Canis lupus familiaris: one gene and its partners. The protein of the gene in region 2 interacts with the protein of the main gene of each other region in a biochemical or structural test. Links are inferred from orthologs where the notes say so. Each region holds a gene or a part of one and is shown on either strand. Other genes may lie near its edges. The genes, in order: BMP2, ACVR2A, GDF2 and SYNJ2BP.

The links.
Region 1: the proteins of ACVR2A (region 2) and BMP2 form a complex in vitro, tested with the Homo sapiens proteins (3 studies listed by BioGRID and IntAct, with this or other methods). The link is inferred for Canis lupus familiaris from reciprocal best matches to the Homo sapiens genes ACVR2A and BMP2.
Region 3: the proteins of ACVR2A (region 2) and GDF2 form a complex in vitro, tested with the Homo sapiens proteins (2 studies listed by BioGRID). The link is inferred for Canis lupus familiaris from reciprocal best matches to the Homo sapiens genes ACVR2A and GDF2.
Region 4: the proteins of ACVR2A (region 2) and SYNJ2BP form a complex in vitro, tested with the Homo sapiens proteins (2 studies listed by BioGRID and IntAct, with this or other methods). The link is inferred for Canis lupus familiaris from reciprocal best matches to the Homo sapiens genes ACVR2A and SYNJ2BP.

What each region holds. Positions count from the first base shown.
Region 1 is NC_049245.1:15,657,359-15,663,304, reverse strand, and holds the start of BMP2 (bone morphogenetic protein 2), read left to right. Parts: upstream 1-2,154; 5' UTR 2,155-2,229; coding exon 2,230-2,330; intron 2,331-2,624; coding exon 2,625-2,974; intron 2,975-5,946. UniProt on the Homo sapiens protein: Growth factor of the TGF-beta superfamily that plays essential roles in many developmental processes, including cardiogenesis, neurogenesis, and osteogenesis. Induces cartilage and bone formation.
Region 2 is NC_049240.1:51,289,816-51,295,937, reverse strand, and holds the start of ACVR2A (activin receptor type-2A), read right to left. Parts: upstream 4,151-6,122; 5' UTR 3,640-4,150; coding exon 3,585-3,639; intron 1-3,584. UniProt on the Homo sapiens protein: On ligand binding, forms a receptor complex consisting of two type II and two type I transmembrane serine/threonine kinases.
Region 3 is NC_049225.1:35,875,985-35,879,892, reverse strand, and holds the end of GDF2 (growth/differentiation factor 2), read left to right. Parts: intron 1-309; coding exon 310-1,253; 3' UTR 1,254-2,071; downstream 2,072-3,908. UniProt on the Homo sapiens protein: Potent circulating inhibitor of angiogenesis. Signals through the type I activin receptor ACVRL1 but not other Alks. Signaling through SMAD1 in endothelial cells requires TGF-beta coreceptor endoglin/ENG.
Region 4 is NC_049229.1:44,326,161-44,331,534, reverse strand, and holds part of SYNJ2BP (synaptojanin-2-binding protein), read left to right. Parts: intron 1-1,558; coding exon 1,559-1,695; intron 1,696-5,374. UniProt on the Homo sapiens protein: Regulates endocytosis of activin type 2 receptor kinases through the Ral/RALBP1-dependent pathway and may be involved in suppression of activin-induced signal transduction.

The DNA of each region.
Region 1 (5,946 bases), on a different chromosome or scaffold from region 2:
CTGCGCGCCGCTCCCGCTCCCGCTCCCGCTCCCGCTCCGGCTCCCGCCCGCTCGGGGATCCCCGGCGAGCCGCGCCGCCGAGGGGGAGGTGTCCGGCCTCCGCGGAGACGGAGGCTGCAGGCAGGCTGCGTCCCCTTTAAAAGCCGCGAGCGCCGCGCCACGGCGCCGCCGCCGGAGTCCTCGCCCCGCCGCCTGCGCCCGGCTCGCGCTGCGCCCGCCGCTCCGCTTCCCACACCCCGCCGGGGACTGGCAGCCGCCGCCGGACGCCCGCCGCCGCAGGCTGCGCCGCGACCCGCCGACCTCGCGGCCAGCGCGTCGCGGACTACGGGGGCTGCTCCGCCGCCGCCGCCGCCGCCGCCGCCGCCGCCGCCGCCGCGCGCCGCTCACCCCGCGCGGGCTGGAGCGCCCGGCCGAGCGCGCCCCTGCGCCGTGGCCTCGGCCGCCCGGGCCGCGCCGGAGCCGGGGAGCCGCGCGCACGGCGCCGCGCAGCCGCGAGCCCAGCCCGAGCGCCGCGATGCCGAGCCCGCGCCGCCCGAGCGTGGGGGCCCGCGACGCGCCGGCCGACGCGTGAGCGGACCCCGGGCCGGCCCCGGAGCGCAGCGCAGTCTGGCCCGGGGGCTGCCGCGAGGGGAGAGCGCGGCCGCGCGCCTCGGCCGCCCGGGACCCGCCTCGCCGCCTCGCCTCGCCTCGCCTCGCCTCGCCTCGCCGGAGAATGCGCCCGAGGACGCCGGGGCGCCGGAGCCGCGGGGCGATCGGCCGGCGGGCGCCGGCGGGGCTGCGCTGGAGCGAGGCCGAGTGATGCGGGGGCGCCCCCCGCCCGGCCCCGAGACCGCCGCTGCGCCCTTCCCCGCACCCGGCGTCGCCCAGGATGGCCGCCCCGAGCCACGGGCCGCGGCGGCGCTAGCGCGGAGGGAGCGCCCGACCCTCGGCCCCCGCGCCGGGCCCCGCGTCCCGCGGGCGCCGGTGCCTGAGGACGACGACGCACCGGCTTCTGCCCTGTCCCTTCCCTCGCCTGCCCCGTCCTCCTCCCCCTGCTCGCTGTTGTTGTGTGTCAGCACTTGGCTGGAGACTTGTTGAACTTGCAGGGAGAATAGCTTGCGCTCCCGCTTCGCGCCGGTGCCTTGGCCCCTGCGGAGCCGGCCTCGCCGCCCGGACCCCGCGCCCGGACCCCGCGCCCGGACCCCGCGCCCGCGCCGCCCCACTGCTCCGCGGGGCCAGACCCGGGGCCGCGGTGCCCGGCGGCGGGAGGAGGCGGCGGCGGCGGCGGCGGCGGCGGCCCGAGGGAACCGGGTCCCTGCGCCAGGTCCTTGGACCAGAGCTTTTTCCATGTGGAGGCTCTTTCAATGGACGTGCCCCCGCGTGCTTCTTAGACGGTCGGCGGTCTCCTAAAGGTAGGGGACGAGGGCCCCGGGCTGGGGTGGGGGTACGGGGTAGGGGGTAGGGGCGGGGCGCGGGGCGCGGGCGGCCGCCGAGGGCGAGCGGCTCCTGGGGCCGGGCCGGGCCGGGCGGACGTAAACAGACCCCCTCCGGGTCCACGTGCTGCCGAGCCCCTGCGGCGATGCCCCCACCAGACCGCCCCGGCGAGCCTGGCCCTCCCGGCTCGCGCTCTTCCGCCCCTCCTCCCTTCTCTCTTCTCAGTATTTTATTAGGGCTGTTAACACTTAGATGATTAAAAAAAAAAAAAAAAAAAACCTCGAAGAAGCCCAATCTAGAGGGTGGCCTCTGGATTTCACCCGTTAGTCGCCAACCTTTGCGCCCTGCCATGGCCATCTTCTCTCCCTTCTTCAAGTTTCTCAGGGAGACCTGCTCTCTACTCAGAGCCAAGTCCCATTTAGGAAAATACTAGAAGTTGGGGTTCTCCCTGTTTGTTGCCAGGAATGCGAGGGGGGCAGTACTTAAATGCCACCTTCTGGTGACACGTGACCGAATAGGTATTATTTATGTAACTGGAGGAATATGTATGTGTGTCTGGACTGCATGGGGCGGGGGTTCGGGGCTGGGGTGGCCCTGTCCTGACACCTCTGAGGTTAAAGGCGTGGGCCACAAGTTGCAAGTGGCTTCGGAAGTTGTGGCCCTGAGTTTACTGGGTCTGGAAGTCAGAGGGAGGGCGGGAGGGCGGGAGCGAGAGAGAGTGTGAGTGTATGTGTGTATCAGGAAGTTCTATACGGTGCCTGTAAGGAAGTCACATGCACCATCCGTGCGTGTTTATATGCAAGCCAGCGCTGGGCAATGTGTTTGGGTTTGTTTAGCGATCCGGGAGGTGTCAGACCAAGCGGTGGTTTCCCCAGGTTCCCTGCACGGGCTGTCAGCGCGAGTGTCACAGAAGAAAGGTGACAGTCTTGACGCTGGTGGGGTGTGTGTGTGTGTGTGCGCGCGCGCGCGCAAATCGTGCCGGATGGATGAGAGTGAGTTGGAAGGGGGGGGAGCCTTCAGGCTCAGGAACTAGGGGCTTTCCATTCTCCCAAACGTTCGAGCTTAAGACCTTTGAAGTATCCCCGCGAGTATTGCACACCAGGTGGGCACCCTGGAGGGGGAGGCAGCGGCCGGAGCGGGAGCCCCGGGACGCGAGGGCGGGGAGAGGATTGGGCGGGGAACTCGGTGACTCACGTCGGCCCTGTCCGCAGGTCGACCATGGTGGCCGGGACCCGCTGTCTTCTAGCGTTGCTGCTTCCCCAGGTCCTCCTGGGCGGCGCGGCCGGTCTCATTACGGAGCTGGGCCGGAGGAAGTTCGCGGCATCTCCTGGCCGCTCCCCGTCCCAGCCCTCGGACGAAGTCCTGAGCGAGTTCGAGTTGCGGCTGCTCAGCATGTTCGGCCTGAAGCGGAGACCCACCCCCAGCAGGGACGCCGTGGTGCCCCCCTACATGCTGGACCTGTACCGCCGGCACTCGGGCCAGCCGGGCGCACCGGCCCCGGACCACCGGCTGGAGAGGGCAGCCAGCCTGGCCAACACCGTGCGCAGCTTCCACCACGAAGGTGAGGCGTGGAGCAGAGCGTGGGGGCCGAGATGCGCGCGGAGAGTCCCCTCCAGAAGCTCCCCACTGTGGGCCGACTGTTGGCATCCCTGGGAAGGCAGTTCTTGCCTTTGTAAGAACCTTTCCGAACCGAACCTGGCTTTACCGCGCTGCCTGTGTGGCGAGGGAGCCAGGGATTCCCCTTTGGTCAATCTGCACCCTTTTCCTGGCCTGCAGCCAGGAGAGCGACTCCTCCTCCAGGAACTGGAGAGAAATCAAGTGATGGGGAAGATGAGGGCAAAAGGCATGCCCCTAGTCAGCTAAATGTGCAAGAATTTCATAGGGGAAGAATGAAAAGGAGGGGGGCAGATTGGGATCTCTTTATGTCTGTTTGGAAGCCCTTTTGCCCTGTAAATCTGTTTCTCCTGCTTCAGCTGGGGTTTCAGGCTAGACACAGCCAAGGACAGACTTTTCAGAGATACTATTGAAGAATCAAAGCCAGGGGCCCCAAAGTCTTTCTAATTTACAGTTGATCTGGGCCTGGTTTGGAAGATTTCGAATCCCTATCTAATCCCCGTGAGAGATCAATCCCACAATCAATCTTATTGTTTCCACAATGACTTTCTTGTTTTGTGCTTAAATCTGAGATGAACTCCCTCTTAGAGACAAGGCAAGCCTTCAGATAAAAGCTTTTGCAGCAGCTGCCTGATGGTTCTTTTTTTTTTTTTCTCCATGTGCATTGAAATGTGGATTTTTTTTTTTTCTTTTATGATACTGGATGTGGTTTTCCTAAGGTACGCTATTTCTGCTTGTTTCATTAGAACAGCATTTAGTGGATTTGAAATGTCCAAGAGAAGCTATTGACATCTGTTGTACCCAAGTTCTTGGATCAATTAGTCAAAAATTTTATGTTCCACTTTAGTTCTTTTTCTACACTTTTAAATACCCTTTTGGCTTAATGCATTCCAAATAGAGCACGGGTTTCATCAAGTTCTAGAGAAATCTCCAAAGCTGTGTATCACAGAGCAGTCACTTGTAGATTATTGGGGAATCGGGAGTGAAGTTCCCATTTTCTTGCCTTGCTTCGAGGTGGTAAATTTCAGGCAGAAATCTATTCTCTAACATAAACAAATAAGAACTGTTACAGCTACCTATTTTCTCTCAGTGTGAAGGGTGACTACACTTGTGAGAACAGCACTTAGTGTTGGGAAGAAGTCCTAAAGGCAGGTGGCGTAACCAAAGGTACTTCTTCATCAAAGCAGTTGTACACTGTGAAGGGACACGGGATTGATAACCCATTGATCGTAATCCATCATTTTCCAGCACATTTCCAAGTGAGGTGCTTTTTTGCAGTAGAGCTCCCATGAGAAAGCACAGAAGGCATCCTTCTACTCCTTCAGGATTCGTTCGCTGAGAAGCAGAAGTTGTCTGTTGTCATATGTAGAAATGTTTTCACTCCTATATGCTCTGTCAACATAATCTTGGAATGATTGTAGTAGATGCAGCTCATCATTCCCAGCTGATGCTGATAAGAATTATTTTTCTGGATAGAAAAGTAGCAAGAGCAGCTATTTCAGCCACCTCTCCTGGAAATTTAGCCTGGAACCACTCTTAATTATTTTAAAGGCTAGGAAGGTACTGTGTGTCTCTCATAACTTAAAGGAGGAACACTTAAGTCGTCTGACACCTAAAACATTCAGCTGCATGAGGATCCCGTCAGTGGAGTCTGTGTATTTCTCTTTCCTCTAGGAGTGGCTTGATCAAAACTAAACAGGCTACAAATTATTTGAGTGTGTTATTTTAACCTAAATAGCGTGCTTGAGTTTATAAGTCAGAATTTATAACTTTAAAAGTATGAAAGTTATGTGCAGAGCAGTAGAGAAATTATCAACCTGCTTAAAGTCAACTTACAGTAACGTCAGATCTCAGTGCAGTTAGATGATAGAAAAAGCCATGTAATTTTTGCCTCAAATTTCATCACATCCATTTCTGTTCTTGTTATGACTAGCATATCATTCTTAGGCCACATCATGCATATTTTGAAGACCGTTTCATTTTTGTGTAACCCAGGATTTGCTTTTTATAAAGATCCTTGTGCCATGCATGGCACTAAAAATCTTTTAATAAATCATGTGATTAAGGCAGCTAGCTTAAGACCAGAACTTGGCTCCTGCAGCCTTAATGGGCATGTGTTTGGTAGAGAACTAAGGGCCTGATTCCAAGAATTACCTGTTGTTGGTTTCATTTGTGGGTGGAATCTGGGTGATTTGGTGAAATTACAAGACCAGAGATACCATGGTTATCAGATAATCAACCACTGTGTGAAGATAATGGGACCGCATGGTAGGTGATCTGAAACAGAATGATCGGTTGTCATTTCTCCTATTAAACTTTGTCTAGTCTTCTGGACAGTACTTGTCCCTTAGGAGAACCCAAGTACTCCAACAGTTTTCTTCCTCCAGTCATTAAAAAGTTCTTTGGCCGCACATAGACCTTTCGCAGCTGCCACTGAGGAAAGAAAAATCACTCCTCCTCCTGGAAGGAGTGTTCTGTGCTTTGCTGTACTGAAAAACACCTTGAAATTGGTTGACTTCACCGGCCCTGCAAAAAGCCTTTATGTTCTCCTGTCAGAGTAGAATATAGAAGGACCATCTGTTTGCTCTCCAGACTCTGAAGGACACAGTCTTCGTTTTAATGAACAATGGAATTATTTGCCTCCCTGACTAAAGCCTTTGAATAGAAAATAACCCTTTTCCCACAAATGTAATTACCACGAAAATATCCGTATAATGGGAGAGTTCAAGAAGCAACTGATGCCCTGGGAGAGAGAACTTGTATCACAAATGCCCAGTGTAAGCAAAGGATTTGGACACAGGCACCCCCCCAAAGCAGTATTTACTTGATGTGCTTCCCTAGTATCCCCGGGTCGTTCAGTGTCACTGAGAAGGGTCCCAGCAAGTAAAACAGGCATTCTCTTTGGAAGTCTTTGGGGGT
Region 2 (6,122 bases):
CTAATATACTAATACTTTTGAAAACAGAGCTTCTCAACCTCAACACTACTGACACTTTGAGCCAGGTAACTCTTCACTGTGCAAGGCTGTCCTGTGCACCGTGGGATGATGAGCAGCATCCCTGCCCTTTCCCCGCTAGATGCTAGTAGCACACCCTCCCCCATAGTTGTGATAACCAAAAATGTCTTCAAACGTCCCCTGGAGGAGAAGTGCAGGGGTAGGTAGCAAAAGACACCCAACCTGAGAACTACTGGCTTATAAATACAAAAAAATTCAAAGTGAATTGGTGGAGGAGGGAGTCTGTCTTGTTCCTCTTCTGGTTTTGATGTTCCAGTAGATGGTATCTGAATCTGATCACAGACTACACTTAAGAGATTCTGACTGTAGGAAACAAAGCGTGTCACATCCATCACTTGTTAGCCAAAGTTCAGCTGAGTCCCAGAAGATCCACAGTGCTGCCAATTCCCCCTCCAAAGGCACATAGACTCACTCACAGAAACACACACGGGCACGGGCGTGCACACACCCGGCACTGCCTACCTATCTGAGGTCAAAGAAATGCACATAATTACTTTATTTCCATTTCTTATTTCATCAAATATATGGACCAGGCTGCTCCAGTTCCCACAGAAACCCAAATTCCTCAACTTAGTCAGTGCAACTCAAACACCACAATAGCTGCATCATTCTAGGTAGGAGAGACCTAAGTGCTAGAGCAAGTATTAAACTCATAGTTTAACAAATGGTGAAGAAAGACACAAATTAGCCACACTGCTTTAAAAACAAACAAACAAATCCAATAAATCGATTTGTGTTTTGAAACAGAATCTGAGGAAGGATAAAAAGAATGGAAAAAATGCAAATACAAAAGGAATCTGAAGGCATCTGAGGAATAGAACAAAACTCAAAAATGTTTCCCCTGGAATTACATTAAGAAATTACATACTTGGCCATATCCTACAGGAATAGTCTGCAAAATCAGTCTCCTATATACTATGCCATGGGATGGAAACTGAAAAATCAAAGTCTGCAAAATACTAAAAAAAAAAAAAAAAAAAAAAAAAAAAAAAAGAAAGAAGCATCCACCCTAAAAATCTGATAAACAGCTCTTTATTACTATTTTTCATTTGCTTAAAAAAATTAAATATCCAGAAACAAAAAAAAAATGACAACTTGAGAAATTTTTTAATTCTCATAAAAATAGCCATCCTCATGCTTCCAGCATGCCAGATTACATATTACCTAGGAAAATCAATTAGGAAAGGAAACACAATAATCTTTTAGAGTGCATTTGATTCATAACAAAAGCCTTTTAAAAAATCAGATATTTTAAGTACTAAATATCTTTATACATAAATATGGATTAAAGTCTTTAAGATGATTTCAATTATCTTCAACAGAATTATATTTTAGTTCAACTAGGAATTATTTGGGGAAAAAAAACTATGCAACAATATTCAGCACCGGTTTTATGTAATTCTATGTGCTATACATATCTATATGCTCTGTAAGCAAGAAAATTACTGTATTTCAGAATTTTAGCTATTAACCTCCTGGCCCACTGAAAATAATCCTACAAGAAACTAACGCTCAATTCTTTTTGCTTCTAAACCAAGCAGAGGAGGCTGTAAGATCTGTAAGCGACAGCCTGCTTTTCCAGAAGTAATACCTTGAGACTGCTTAAGAATAACCCCCTTCACCAATTATTGTGACTCAGGTGGGTTTGGGAGGGAATAATGTCCACAATTCCTTGGTCAGTGGCCATGATGCCCCTCCTCCTCAAGGGCAGGAGATCAGAGAAAGGGATTTGAACATGAGGAGTTCACCAACCAGAACATACAGGAACCAGGAGAGAGAGAGAGTACTACGGGGAAAATAAAAACTGCATAGTTAAGTCATGTCACAAAAGCGAGAGGTTTAATGTTATCAAGGTATTCATTCATTTCGGAGACACCATTGTTTATCTTCCTCCCCAAGCCCTGCACAAAAAGAACTGTCAGCCTGCCTTAAGCATGTTCCTTCTTCCATTTAAACAGACATGATTCTTTGGTTAATCTCTGGCAATGATCGCCATTTCACAACACATTTAGCCCACCCGGAACTGATCAATACCACTACAGACATAAGACTAGACTTTATCCATTTATTAACCACAAGGAAATGTACCATTCAGCAAAATTCTATACGTTACAAAGGATTCTATTAGAAGAGGGGGCTGGGAGGACGGACGGACACACACACACACACACACACACACACAGCACAGAGGTACACAAAGAAAAGACTAACACCCTCTAATTTCCCTGCAGCAAACGAGATAAAGACGTGGCCGTGAAACCTGTCAATTCGTCCCCCCCTCCCCCCCCGCCTCCAATAATTCTCTCCCACAACCTGGTACCCGAATATTGAATTTTATGATCACCAGATCCACTGCGACTTCAAAAGTGTTCCATCCATCAAACTAAACTCTCCTGCGACGTACGTGTGCACACCTTGGAGCTGGGCTGCGTTCGTTTACCGAACCCCAAACACAAAAGACTAGTTTCCCAACCACTGGTTGCAAAGGCGTACAACGTCCAAGCAAAAATCACAACGTCGGATGCAGGAGGGACCAGGTCGCCCCCTCCAAACCTCGGGCCACAACCCACGCCAGGACCGCAACGTCTCTGACGAGCGCGAACCATCTCGAATGGCTGCTCTATAGACCGAAAACAATGCCTCGATACACCGCGCGTTAAGAGAAGTCCCCCGTAGGTGAGCGGAATCTGTGCCAGCCGAGAGCACGCAGACATGGTGGTGAGGGCCAGCGCTCCGCCAGCGCCCGGCCGCGCTCCGCTCCGCGCCGCGGTATTGTGAACACCCGGGCCACAGCAGCTACAACTATTTTTAACGCGGCTGGACGCCGAAGTTGAGGAGACCGTGAGGCGGGCGGGCGGGCGGGCGAGGGGGGTGGGGGGGACCCCGATGACACCGCCGCCGCGCCGCATTGTTTCTCGCCGTCCGGAGCGAGCGGGCGAACGGGCGAACGGGCGGGCGAACGGGCGAACGGGCGGGCGGGCGACGGCCGGCTGGACGCCCGTCGTGACGGCCACCGCGGAAGCGCTGGTTACGAGACAATCAAACCCAGAACAAAACGCGCCGCTCCGGGGTGGGGGGGAGGCAGGCCACGCGACACGCCGCTCCGGGGGGCGCCTTTCGGGGCTCGAACCCGCGGCCCCGGCTGTCACTCGCGCCGCTTGTGGCTTAACCGCCCCCCTCCCCCCCCCCGCCCCAGGCAGCGCTGTCACCCGGGGCGAGGGCCACGGAGCGTGACTTTCCCAGTCGCACGGCCGAGCCGTCCGTCTCCTCAGCCCGCCGGCCCGGCTCCGAGCGGGAGACGCTGACAGAGATTTCCGGGGCACGGTCGGGGCTGAGGTGGGGGGTCGCGCGGGGTCGCGGCCCAGGGCGCCGGGGGGCGGGTGTGCGCGCGTGTGTGCGCGCGTGTGTCCGTGCGCGCGCGTGTGTGTGTGTGTGTGTGTGTGTGTGTGTGGAGCTCCCCAGGCCGCCGCCGCCGCAGCCCCGCCGCGCTCGCTCCACGCACCTACCTGAAGAGCAGGAGATAAGAAACACGGCGAACGCCAACTTCGCAGCAGCTCCCATTTTCCGAGGCGCCGGGGGATCCGCAGCAAGTTCTCGCTAGAGAGCCCGTTCCCTGGTCTTCCTCGGAGACAAACCTCCTGGTGTGAAATCAACCGTCATAAAACATATTCGGAAGCCCCCGACCAAAAAGAAAAATAAAAAAAAATAAAAAACGAAAAAGGTTCACGGGGTTAAGAAAAAAAAAAAAAGGAAAAAATAAAAGAGCACAATAATGCTATATATTAAAAAAAAAAAAAAAAGGAAAAATGCACCACGGGGAAGGGGTGGGGGGAGAAAAACCGCCACACACACGCACGACACACAAAACCAAACAACGAAAAGGCAACAACAACAAAAGCGGGTTTAAATCACTGTCAAAATCGCTGTCAGCGCCGCTCGCCTGTCGGGGCTCTCGGAACAAAACGCCAGGCGGAGGCGCCGAGGCGGCGGCGGGGCGGCGGGGAGCCCGAGCCGCCCGGACAGTCCGGGAGCCGAGCCGGGTCCGACGTCCGGACCGACCTTCAACCCGGACACCCAAAGTCCGCGGACCGCTGGCGGCCGGGCTGGCGGCCGTGGCGGCCCGGGCGGCGGGGACGGCGCGGCGGCGGCGGGGACGGCGGCGGGGACGGCGGCGCAGGCGGCGGCGCAAGCGGCGGCCAAGTTCTGGTCCAGGCTCTGGCTCCGGCTCCGGGCTCCGGGCTCGGCCGCGTTTTCGGTCCCCTGGCCTCCGCCGGCCCCGCCCCCCACACTTCCGGTTCCGGCCCGAAGCTGGAAGCCAGGCGCGGCGGAGGAACGCTCGGCCGCGGCGGCGGCGGCGGCGGCGGCGGGGACGGGGACGGGGACGGGGACGGGGACGGGGACGGCGGGGCGGCGGGCGCAGCGCGCGTGCCGGGCCGGGAGCGCGAGGAGATGGTCGGGGAGGCGAGGCGAGGCGGGCGCGGGGAGGGGCGCGCGCGAGGGCGGGGCGGGCCGGAGGGCGGGGGCGGGGCGGGGCGGACGGAGGCGCGTTCCCGCGAGGCCTGTGCGTCCGGCCTGCGCGGCCTGCGGGGCTGCGGGGGCTGCGGGGCCCGGGCGGGCGGGACGCGGGGCGCGGGGAGCCGCGGAGCCCCTGCCGTGCCCTGCCCTGCCCTGCCCTGCCCCGCGCTGCCCCAGGGGACGCCGCGTCCGCGGAGCCGCCCGGCCGACCCGGTGCGCGCGGGCTGCAGGCGCGGCCCGGCCCCAGCCCCAGCCCCCGGCGCCCGAGCGCTCAGTGCCGCGGCCGAGCCACCGGGCCGGGCGTGCACGCGGGGCGGGGGGCAGCCGAGCGCCGCCCGGGATCGCGCGGGGTCCGCTCCGCACCCGGCGGGGTCGCGGCTGCCTCTTTCTTTCCTTGCATCTTTTTCTTTCTTTCTTTCTTCTTTCTCTTTTTTTTTCCTTAAATTTTCACGCCCCCTAAGCCAGGTGGATCGCTCGCACGGGGCCGGGCCGGGCTCGGATCGCGACTCCGAACGCAGGACCAGCGTCCCCCCTCGCGGAGCCCGCGGCGGCGGCGGGTTCGAGCCCCGCGGACGCCGGGACCCGACCCGACCCGACCCGACCGACCCGACCCGACCCGACCCGGGGCCGCCCGGCCCTGCCTGCGGCGTTCTAGCGTGAGCTCCGCAAACCGTTTTATTTTTTTAATGATAAAGAGTCATAAACCGTACTGCGTGTGGCTAACTCCTCTGTTTCACTGGTGCTTTACCGATCCCCACGTTTTTCCCACAAAGCCAAGCCTCCTCCCATGTATGTACACAGTGGTTTTTTTTTTTCCCCTTCCTCTAAATTACTCAATATCGCTATCTATGAAGCTCATCCTGTAATTATCTGCCCATTTCTACGACTTGTCAGGGTCATTAGTAATGACTGTGACTCTTAAACTCCCTCCAAGATCTCCAAGTCCTCACGTCGTGGTGCTCAGAATTTGGTTTTCTGTTTGTTTGTGCTCAGAATTTGTTTTTGTTTTTTTTTTTTATTTGTTTTTTTTGTGAGGTTTTTTTGTGTGTTTTGTTTTGTTGATTTTTTTTGGTTTTGTTTGTTGGTTTTGTTTTGTTTTTGTTTTTTTTTGTTTGTTTGTTTGTTTTGGTGCTCAGAATTGGACTGATGTTGTGCAACAGTTAAGAAAAAGTCCCCAGTGGGTCTTCAAGGTGTCTAAATGGTCCCATATTATGTAATTCTCTGGACCTTATGAGCTGCTCAGAGGAATAAATATAAACATTCTTCCATTCTCTACTTGCACTGTTTCCACTAATGTTTCTGGAATGGAAGAGCGTATTTAGTGCATTCAGGAATTTTTCTGTGGGTTATACCCTGGATCAGGCCTCCCTGTTGTCTTATCTCTGCATCACTTCCATATTTCGCAGATTGTGAAACCACAGAGAGTGGAATAACTGGAATAACCAGTAATAGGACTAAAACACACACACACAAAAAAATTATATTCCTTATCTTACCACCTAAATTTGCCAGTAGAAGAATTTTAAGAG
Region 3 (3,908 bases), on a different chromosome or scaffold from region 2:
GACCGTCCCAGGGCCCGTGCGGAGAGCAAAGTGACACAGAGAATGCAGAGCTCCTAGTGCGATGCTGGGCACCTAGTAGGTGCTCCCTGAAGGGCGGACCTGTCAACTCCAATGCAAGGCACCTCCTGCCTCTGGTTTTCTGGAAGATCCTAAATGTCTTTTAAATCCTTCTACACGAAGGGCCTAAGTGAAACCAAATAAAGATTTGATAGAGTTGGTCAGTGGCATCCTGGATGCCCTTTGACCCAAGTCACAAGTCTCAGCTTTGGTGTCATGAAAGGTGACCTTGACTGTGCCCTTGCATTTCAGATGCTGTCTCCATCATGGCCACAGAGGACTTCCCCTTCCAGAAGCACATCTTGCTCTTCAACGTCTCCATTCCTAGGCATGAGCAGATCACCAGGGCCGAGCTCCGACTCTACGTCTCCTGCCAAGGTCACGGAGCCGCTTCTCGTGAACTGAGAGGCAACATGGCTATTTATGACGTTCTGGATGGAGCAGATGCCTGGGATGCTTCCGCAGGCACCAAGACGTTCCTCGTGTCCCAGGACATCTCGGATGAGGGCTGGGAGACCTTCGAGGTGTCCAGCGCTGTGAAGCGGTGGGTCAGAGCAGACTCCACCAAGAGCAAAAACAAACTGGAAGTGACTGTGGAGAGTCACAGGAAGGGCTGCGACAAGCTGGATATCAGTGTCCCCCCGGGCTCCAAAAACCTGCCCTTCTTTGTTGTCTTCTCCAACGACCGCAGCAATGGGACCAAGGAGACCAGGCTGGAGCTCAGGGAGATGATCAGCCACGAACAGGACAGCGTGCTCACGAAGTGGTCCAAGAACAGTCCAGCAGGGGCGGGTGACCGCAAGGCCGAGGGGGGCGGGGAAGGTCACATGGCCACAGGGTCCTCGTTAGCCAGACGAAAGAGGAGTGCCGGAGCCAACAACCACTGTCAGAAGACCTCCCTGCGGGTGAACTTCGAGGACATCGGCTGGGATAGCTGGATCATTGCACCCAAGGAGTACGACGCTTACGAATGTAAAGGCGGCTGCTTCTTCCCCTTGGCTGACGACATGACCCCAACAAAACACGCCATCGTGCAGACTCTGGTGCATCTCAAATTCCCCATGAAGGTGGGCAAGGCCTGCTGCGTGCCCACCAAACTGAGCCCCATCTCCATCCTCTACAAGGATGACATGGGGGTCCCCACTCTCAAGTACCACTACGAAGGGATGAGTGTGGCAGAGTGTGGGTGCAGGTAGTGCCGGCCTCGGGCGGGGGGACAGGGTGGACGGGCCCCGTTTCCCTCTGGGCATGCCAGCCTGAAGGAGGGAAGGGGGCGGCCACGTCCAGGAGGTGATGGCCTGCCCACCCCAGGCGTCCACCACTGGGTCCATTCGCATGGGACAGCAGTGGCCGGGGCCAGGGCAGCGGCGGGGGAGAGGAGGAGAGCCCGGAAGGATCATTGGGGTGCAAGGGGGGAGAAGAAAAAAGAGGCCGAGAGGAAAGCAATCCAGGGTTAGCAGAAAATAGCAGAAACGAGGCAGGGGGCTGGACAGATGAGGTGCAGAGATTGGTGGGGCTTAAAGGAGGCGGGAAGGACGGGGCACATTCCCACAACTCAGGGGGTGCGGGCCCGGAGAGCCACGTGCTCTACACCCCTCGTTTCGAGCCTCCCTGCAACCCGGCGAGGTGGGGCTCACGAGCAACCAAAACACAGGCATTTCAAGCCACACCGGCCATGGAGATGGGGTCCAACCCTCGGTCTGCACAGATCCGTCATTCCCCGGGGCCCAGGACCCTCTCAGGTACCCCATCAAAGGGTATCAGGTCACCTCACAGCTAAAGAAAATTAGACGCTGGAGGCGGGCAGCGGGGCCGAGCTGCACTGAGCCCCAGCCAGTGCCCACCAGGCTGGCCGGGCCGCTGGAGCGTCCAGCACGTTCTGACGGGCGCCGGGCTGCACCGGGGGCCCGGGGCTTTCTCAGATGCGCCTCGAGTCCCTGGGCAACCATCCCCCAGAGCAGCTGCAGGAGGGATGGAGTGCACGACAGGCGCCCGAGGCTGCGTACACACGGCGGCCGGGGGGCCGGGGGCGGGGAGGGGGGACGGGGGACGGGGCGGGACCGGGGCCGTGGGACAGCGCATTCAGCTGGCAGTGCGGGCCACTGCCCAGCACGGGGTCCCCGGGTGTGCGCGGCCCAAGCAGCTCACCAGCACGACGCCCCGGGGCCTGGATTGGAGTTGGTCGGAATAAATGTGCTCTTGCCTTGGTGGCTGCGATGTCCCTTTTAGTCCTCTCGCCCAGCCGGGCCTTCCCGGCCCCCGCCGCCCCCGCCGGCTTCCCTGAGCTGCACGGCCCCGGCCCCGGCCCCGGCCCCGGCCCCAGGACCCGACTCGGCCCGCTGACCTCGGGGAGGACGGGGTTTCCTGGGAGCCCTGAGGGCCGCGGCCGGAGCAGAGCCCGTCGCAGGCCCCGCCACCTGGCCTTCCCCGCGGGTGGAAGCTCCTAGCATATTAAAAAAAAAAAAAAAAAAAAAAAACAGATTTATGTTAGTTTACATGGAACCAACGGAGAGCTTTAACAGAATTCAAATTCATTAATTTAAATACAATTAACTACCGAATTGTAGAAAATACTAACTCCTGGTGAGACCGGATGAGGAATTAGTCCCGGCGGCACAATCCTGCGACTGCATCAAAGCTTCACTCGGAAATAAAGTCGAGTGTGTCCGCGGTGGACTCCCCTGATCAGAGGCCTCATGGCCCCCGGACACCGCGCCCAGGCCACCCCTGCCCCTGGGCCCTCCCCTCCCTGAGGACAGAGCCTCAGGTGGATGCAGAGGGCAGCGTCTCCGTTGCGGGGGGCCCGGGAGATGTCCATGGAAGGGCCTGCGTGGTGCCCGCGGGCCCAGAGGTTGGAGCCAGAGCCGCCCCCGCTCCAGCCCCAGCCCGGCTCCCTCGGTCCTCGGCCTGCCCTCAGGCCCCGCTCCACCGCAGCCCAGTCACCTTCCCTGAAGGCCCGGCTCCGGTGGCACCCCTCAGCCTCCCCCCGCCCCGCCGCAGCCTGGCCCCGACCTCCCCACCCTGAGGAGCACGACCGTGCTTCTGTCCTGTGGCTGTTGTGGGCTTGGCGTGGGGACCTGCCAGCCTCTGCTCGTGAGCCGCCCACGCCACCAGGTCCTCCGGGGACGAGGCCTGCGAGCCTGCAGCCTGGTCACACTCGGGGCCCAGGTTCAGGGCAACGGGGCCCGGACCACGTGCTGGGAAAAGAATCTGCGGGAGCGCCCCCCAGGTGCTGCTTGGCGTCCATGTCCCCACGGATGTTTCTGGGGGATCACCCCAGCAGAGCTCATCCCCCGATGCGGTACTGAGCCCTCCGCTTCTACTACCGCGCTTGCGGGTGGGGGGTTGTCAGCATCACACGTAGGGAGGCACTGTCCCCTGCTCCTCATGTCACCCACCCCCGGGCGCAGAGCGGGAGGACAGAGGGGCTCAGAGATGCCGGGCAGGAAGCCCCCAGCAGGAAGCGACAGCAAGGGGGTGGAGTGGGGGGACCGTAGGGCCAGCCCCGGGGAGAGGCGGGGGTCCCCAGGGACGTGCACTCCGGAGCTCACACGACAGCCACAGAATAAAAGACATTTCTATCCTGACTTTTGCAAATGAAGAGGAGGTGGAGGCTTCTGGAGGCTTCGGCCTTGGCTCAGAGCTCAGACGGGAGGGCTGGGGTTTGACCCCGGCCACGGGGGTCAAACCCCACACTCTCCGTCCGGACAACCTCCCTCATGAAGAGTCAGGGTCGCGGCAGGGACACAGGCCCTCACAGGGTCAGGGCTCTCGGGTGGTGCCCCCCACCGGCCCTGCTCTGTGGGATCCTTGCCCGCCGGGTGCTCGGGGCAGCGGCAGGAGGCCCCCTT
Region 4 (5,374 bases), on a different chromosome or scaffold from region 2:
ACTTGATCCAGGGTCTCCAGGATCACACCCCAGGCTGCAGGCGGTGCTAAACCGCTGCGCCACCAGGGCTGCCCGCCATCTTGTATCTTAAACCACTTTAGTTCTCTGGCTTAGATAGTCTTTATGCAAGGTATGCTACCTAAATGAGTTGTTTCCTACTGCTTCTCTCCCTTTGGCCATGTGCTTCCTTACATTGCAGATTGATTTACTAGTACTTATGTTAATACTGTGAGCTTCACACACAAGCTTTCATCCCATCAATGGGGAGAATTTTTTAGAAAGCCCACAAATGTCTCCTTAAGTATCTGTTTTCTATTGAAATCAATAAATAAGCTAGTGATTATGGCTGTTCCTTCTAATTGTGCCCCCAGATTTTTGTTTTTTATTTTCAAACTGTTTCTTTTCTCTTGGCATTATGGCTATGAATTCTACAGTGTCTGACAGAAAACCCTAGGGAGGTTCCTTTTTTTTTCCTTTTCTTTTTAATGCATAGATAAATTCTGTTTATAACAATGATTTTTGAATAGTGAAATTCCACAACTTGGTTGGTTGGTCCATAGAAATGACACTTTACAAGTCATCTTTTTTTTTTTTTAATTTGTTGTTATGGTAAGAACACTTAAATGAGATCTACTCTCTTAATAGATTTTTAAGTGTACAATAACACTGTTGTTATCTATAGGCACCATGTTGTACACCAGATCTCCAGAACTTATTCATTGTGTATAACTGAAATTTTATACCCACTTAAATTAGTCACTTAGAGAAGCAAAGAATAGAAGGGTGGTTGCCAGGGGTTTAGGCGTGGGGGTGGAATGGAGAGTTGCTAATCAGTGGGTAGCTGGTTTCCTACAGTGAATAAAACTTGACAGACTACCCAAATGCATGGTTGTTTTCACTGGTCATAGAAAAGGAAAAAGTAAATTTGGTGGTTTAGTCCTATCATGAAGCCTCAGTTGCCTTTCTAGTTCCCAGGATTCCTGCCAACACCTACACTCAAAATAGAAAAATAAATTAAACTCCTAAGACCATTTTTTTCCAAAACACCTCCATATGCAAACTGTCCTGAATGTTGGGAGAAGGGAACTATGAAGGGGAAACTTTGATTAGGAAACTCTCTTCCACTAAATTAAAGATAGTTCATTTGCTTCTTATGAACTCACCCTGTTACATTAATAGCAGGAAAGTCAAGAATTGGGTCCTTTAAATGCCACCAGCAGAATCAGAATTGAATATGAACAGAAGTACATCTTACAAGAATCACTGTTATTCTTTTACTGAGTTTAGAATATAGATCTTTCTTTTTATACTAAACAGACTATGTTGATCTCTGTGTTTGTATTTTTAATCTTGCCTGGCCTAAGTGGGCAACTCTGGGTACTCTTGACCTCTGTTGATGATCCTCTTCACTAACCTTGCCTGTGTCTATTGACCAGTTACATCACAGTTTGACTCACCAGCCTCCCCTCCTCACTAGGCCTCTCCTCTTTCTCTTTCTTCTCTAATCCCTTTCTACTTCATCACTATCTCCTTCACAACTCCTCCATGATTTTCTCAGGGCTGGGCTTCAACATCGTCGGTGGGACAGATCAGCAGTATGTCTCCAACGACAGTGGCATCTACGTCAGCCGCATCAAAGAGAATGGGGCTGCGGCCCTGGATGGGCGGCTCCAGGAGGGTGATAAGATCCTCTCGGTGAGAACTGGCTTCGGCCTCCTTCACTGTTTCTTGCTCCCTAGACCCCAGTTCTTACCCTTAGCCCTTTCCTTGGGAAGATTTCTGCCTGCCTTTTTGGATCTGGAAATATCTGGATTGTAGAATATGGTGGGAGGGACCTTGATCAGTCACCTTTTCCTGCCCAAACATAGAGCAAAGAGGATAATTCCTTACTTGATAGACAAGGCATCTTCAGTCCAGAATGTGAAGCTACTTTAACCAAGTTCAAAAAACAGGGAATAGGAAAGGTTGAGGGGCTGATGTAGGGGAAAGAGACTTAAAACCCACAATTGTCCTTTTTCAGTTATACTTTATCACCTCCCTTTCATTGAAAGATTAATGTGTGTCTTCCTTTACTCCAAAGAAACAAAAAAGGAAGGTAGAAATTAAGCTTCCTTTTTAGACTCAAATCCCTTCTCACCCGTCATGAAGATGAAAAATTTGAATGCATTCTCATTTGGGTATCTGTCCATTGTGCTCCCATTTCATTCAGCTAATGTTTGTAATAAGACACTTACTATATGGTGAGCTTTGATTTGATTCTTTTCTAAAAGTTTCTCAAGGGCAGGGACTAGATCTTTTTTTTAACCTTTTACATCCTTGCAATGCTCAATATATATTTAACAAATGAACAAGTTAAGAAATTCAGGCAAGCCCAGAAAGATTGGCTGATCCAGAATATAAATATAGTATTTTGGATAGTAATAGCCTATTTTTGTCCTTCTCACCAGCTATTTTGCCTCTTTTCAGACCATTAACCTTCTCCTAGATCCTGTTTATTAATTTGAAAGATACAAACAGTGATAAATACCTTTTATCTCAAAATGATACTGTGAGGTTTACAAGTAGATTATTTCATATTAGCTCCCTGGAGAAAGACCTCCTAAAAACATGAAATCAACTTGAGTGGAACATTAAGGAAAATTTAAGAGTGGGTTGTTAATGGTATAGCATGTAGGCAGAAATTATGCAGTTCATAGTGACATATAACACATTCTCTCCAGAATACTGGGGCCTGGGTTACATTTGAAAAGTATAGGGGTTCAGAGGACAGCCATATTATTCAAAAAGGTTTGGTAAAGGGTAGATTATATGAGAATGGTTAGAAGTTTTTGAGCACCATATGCTAAGCAATATGCTGAGAACTTTACGTTTGTTTAATATTGTGGTAACCCTATGAGGTGAGTACAATTATTATAACTACTTTGCTGCTAAGGAAGCTGAGTCTTGGTGAGGTCAAACAGCTTGCCCAAGGTCACACAACTGGTAGGTGGCAGAGGACTAAAACTGATCTGTCTGAATTTGGAGCCCCTACTCTTAATCAGTATGCTGTACTGCCTCCTAAGAAGTAAATGAGGAGCTAGGACTAGGTATCTAAACAGAAGGTTGTATGGTTAATTAATAGATATTTTGTATGGTTTTATATAAAAACAAATCAGTCTTTAAGGGTATAATTGGAGGGAAAAGGTCATTTAGCTCAGTATGAGAGAATTTATTAAACATAAGCTAAGATGAGCAGCCTTTCTTATGTGGACCATTGCCTCATAGAGAAAAGAAATTATTGGAAGGCACTCAAGTTTTTTTTTTTTTTTTTTAGAGAGTATGGTAGGAGATGGATGTCCATGGAGCAAAAAGTAAATGTCAAAAAAACTGCTCTCTTCACCTTGAAATTTACACCAAACAGGATTTTACTTTATTAAAGTAAAACAAATATGAGAAATATTACAAAGACCTATACAATATATTAAATATTACAAATATATATAGGACATATAACAAGGAATGATTCAAGTTTATGTTTTGGACAATTAAGATATGGGAAAGAAGAGAGGGAGGAAATGCCTGACAAAAGTTGTAAAACAGATAGGAAGAGAAAGAAAGAAGACTGAAGAGAAAAAGATGGAGCATATACAAGAGGAGAAGGCCAGCATATTCTCTTCTTTCTTTCTTTCTAGGGCTATCTTATTTATGACTCCAGTCTCCCTATCAAGAGTTTGCTCCAACATAATTCTTTCTAGATCCTTTTCCTAAGAAATACTGCCTCTCTCACCTTCTCACTGTCTTTTCCACTCTCTCCTTAAGTGAACTCATTGGGCATTAACCATTAAATGGTTATGTCTCCTTTGTAACTCACTCTCCCTCTGATTTAACTAAGTGCTCTAATACTGGCTGTGGAGTCTCTGTAAAATGATGGTGCTGAACTGTTTATTAGCTTATATTCTCCTTGATTCTTTATGGGTTTTTCTGTTCTCTTCACATAGGCTATTTTTCCATGTTGTAAAATATGCCCCAGCTCTTTCTTTTAACTTTTGCTAGATAATCAAACTAAGAATATGTTACTTCCTTGGCACATCCATTTTGGATAACTAATACAAATCTTATTTAGTGATCTAGATTTCCTAGAGTTAGTATTGACTAATAAATTAATCTTTCCATTTCTCTTGAAATAATGCCCGTGTTTTGTCTTAATTTCAAGTAAAACTAAATAATTGCATGACTTATGCAATTCCCTCTTGCTCATTAAAAGTTAAATTACATTTTTTTGTGACCTCTGTGGAATGTTTAAACTTAAAAAAATGGGAGGGGGAGGAAGAAAAGAAATTCCTTTAACATAAATTATTTTTAAGGCCCTATTGCATCTGACAACCATAAAACAAAAACAGGTATTACTAATAGAAGGACCTGAAGTTGAGATGAGGGCTGGAGATGGAGATTCCTCACCCAGAGTTTATTTTGTATGTGATGGTTAGGGCAATTTAATATTTGTATAGGTTACAAGGGAAAGATTTTATTTTTGAGGGGAAAAAAATGTAAACTGCTTAGGTTTGTCATTTCCGTTGTGTGCCTGCCTAAATGATGGGAGGTGGATAGTTAAGAACAGTCCATGCTCAGTGAATGCTGCATTTTTATGAAGTTCAGGGTGATATGAGCTAATTATTACACTGAATAGATGAATATTCCCTTTTGACCAAACCCTTTATATAACAAAATGGCACAGATCAGGCCACTAGTCAGCCACATTTCATGTTTTCATCAAGTGTAATTCTTAACTTGGTGAATGAAAGAGCTGAGTAGTCCTCAGCATTTATAGCTGTTATACTTGACAGCCTGCAGAGCACCATGCCAGGTGCTCTGGAATGATTTGAAAAATGAAACACTCACCTTCACACATAGCTTAGAAATCAGTGGGAAAGACCCACCAGAACCCCTCATCTGCTTGGCTGCAAAGACATTGGAATATGCGGAATCCTTTAGACAAAGGATGCCTAGAGGCACTTTGTCCTCCTAGCTCAGTATCCCCAGCTTAGGATCCCCCCTGCCTATATGTTTGTAGCTGGCACAGAGTATGTATGCAGTAGGTTAGTTGCTCTGTGAATGCATCATAGCATAACGGACTTTTTTGGTTTGGTCTGATTAATTAGAACTAGATAATCTATTTTTTTCCCTCTTCAACTCTGATGAAAAAAGAGCCCCCCCCTTCCCTCATTGTGATTCATTTCAGGATCTTGGCAAAAAATTAAAATATCCAGAGTGGTCAATGCTTATTAAATTAAGTCCATTCCTTTTCTACATCTTATGCATTTATATCGATATCGATGTTATTCTATAGTTAGAGCTCTTGAGGCAATTCAAAATTATTAATCGTCAAAGAAAATGA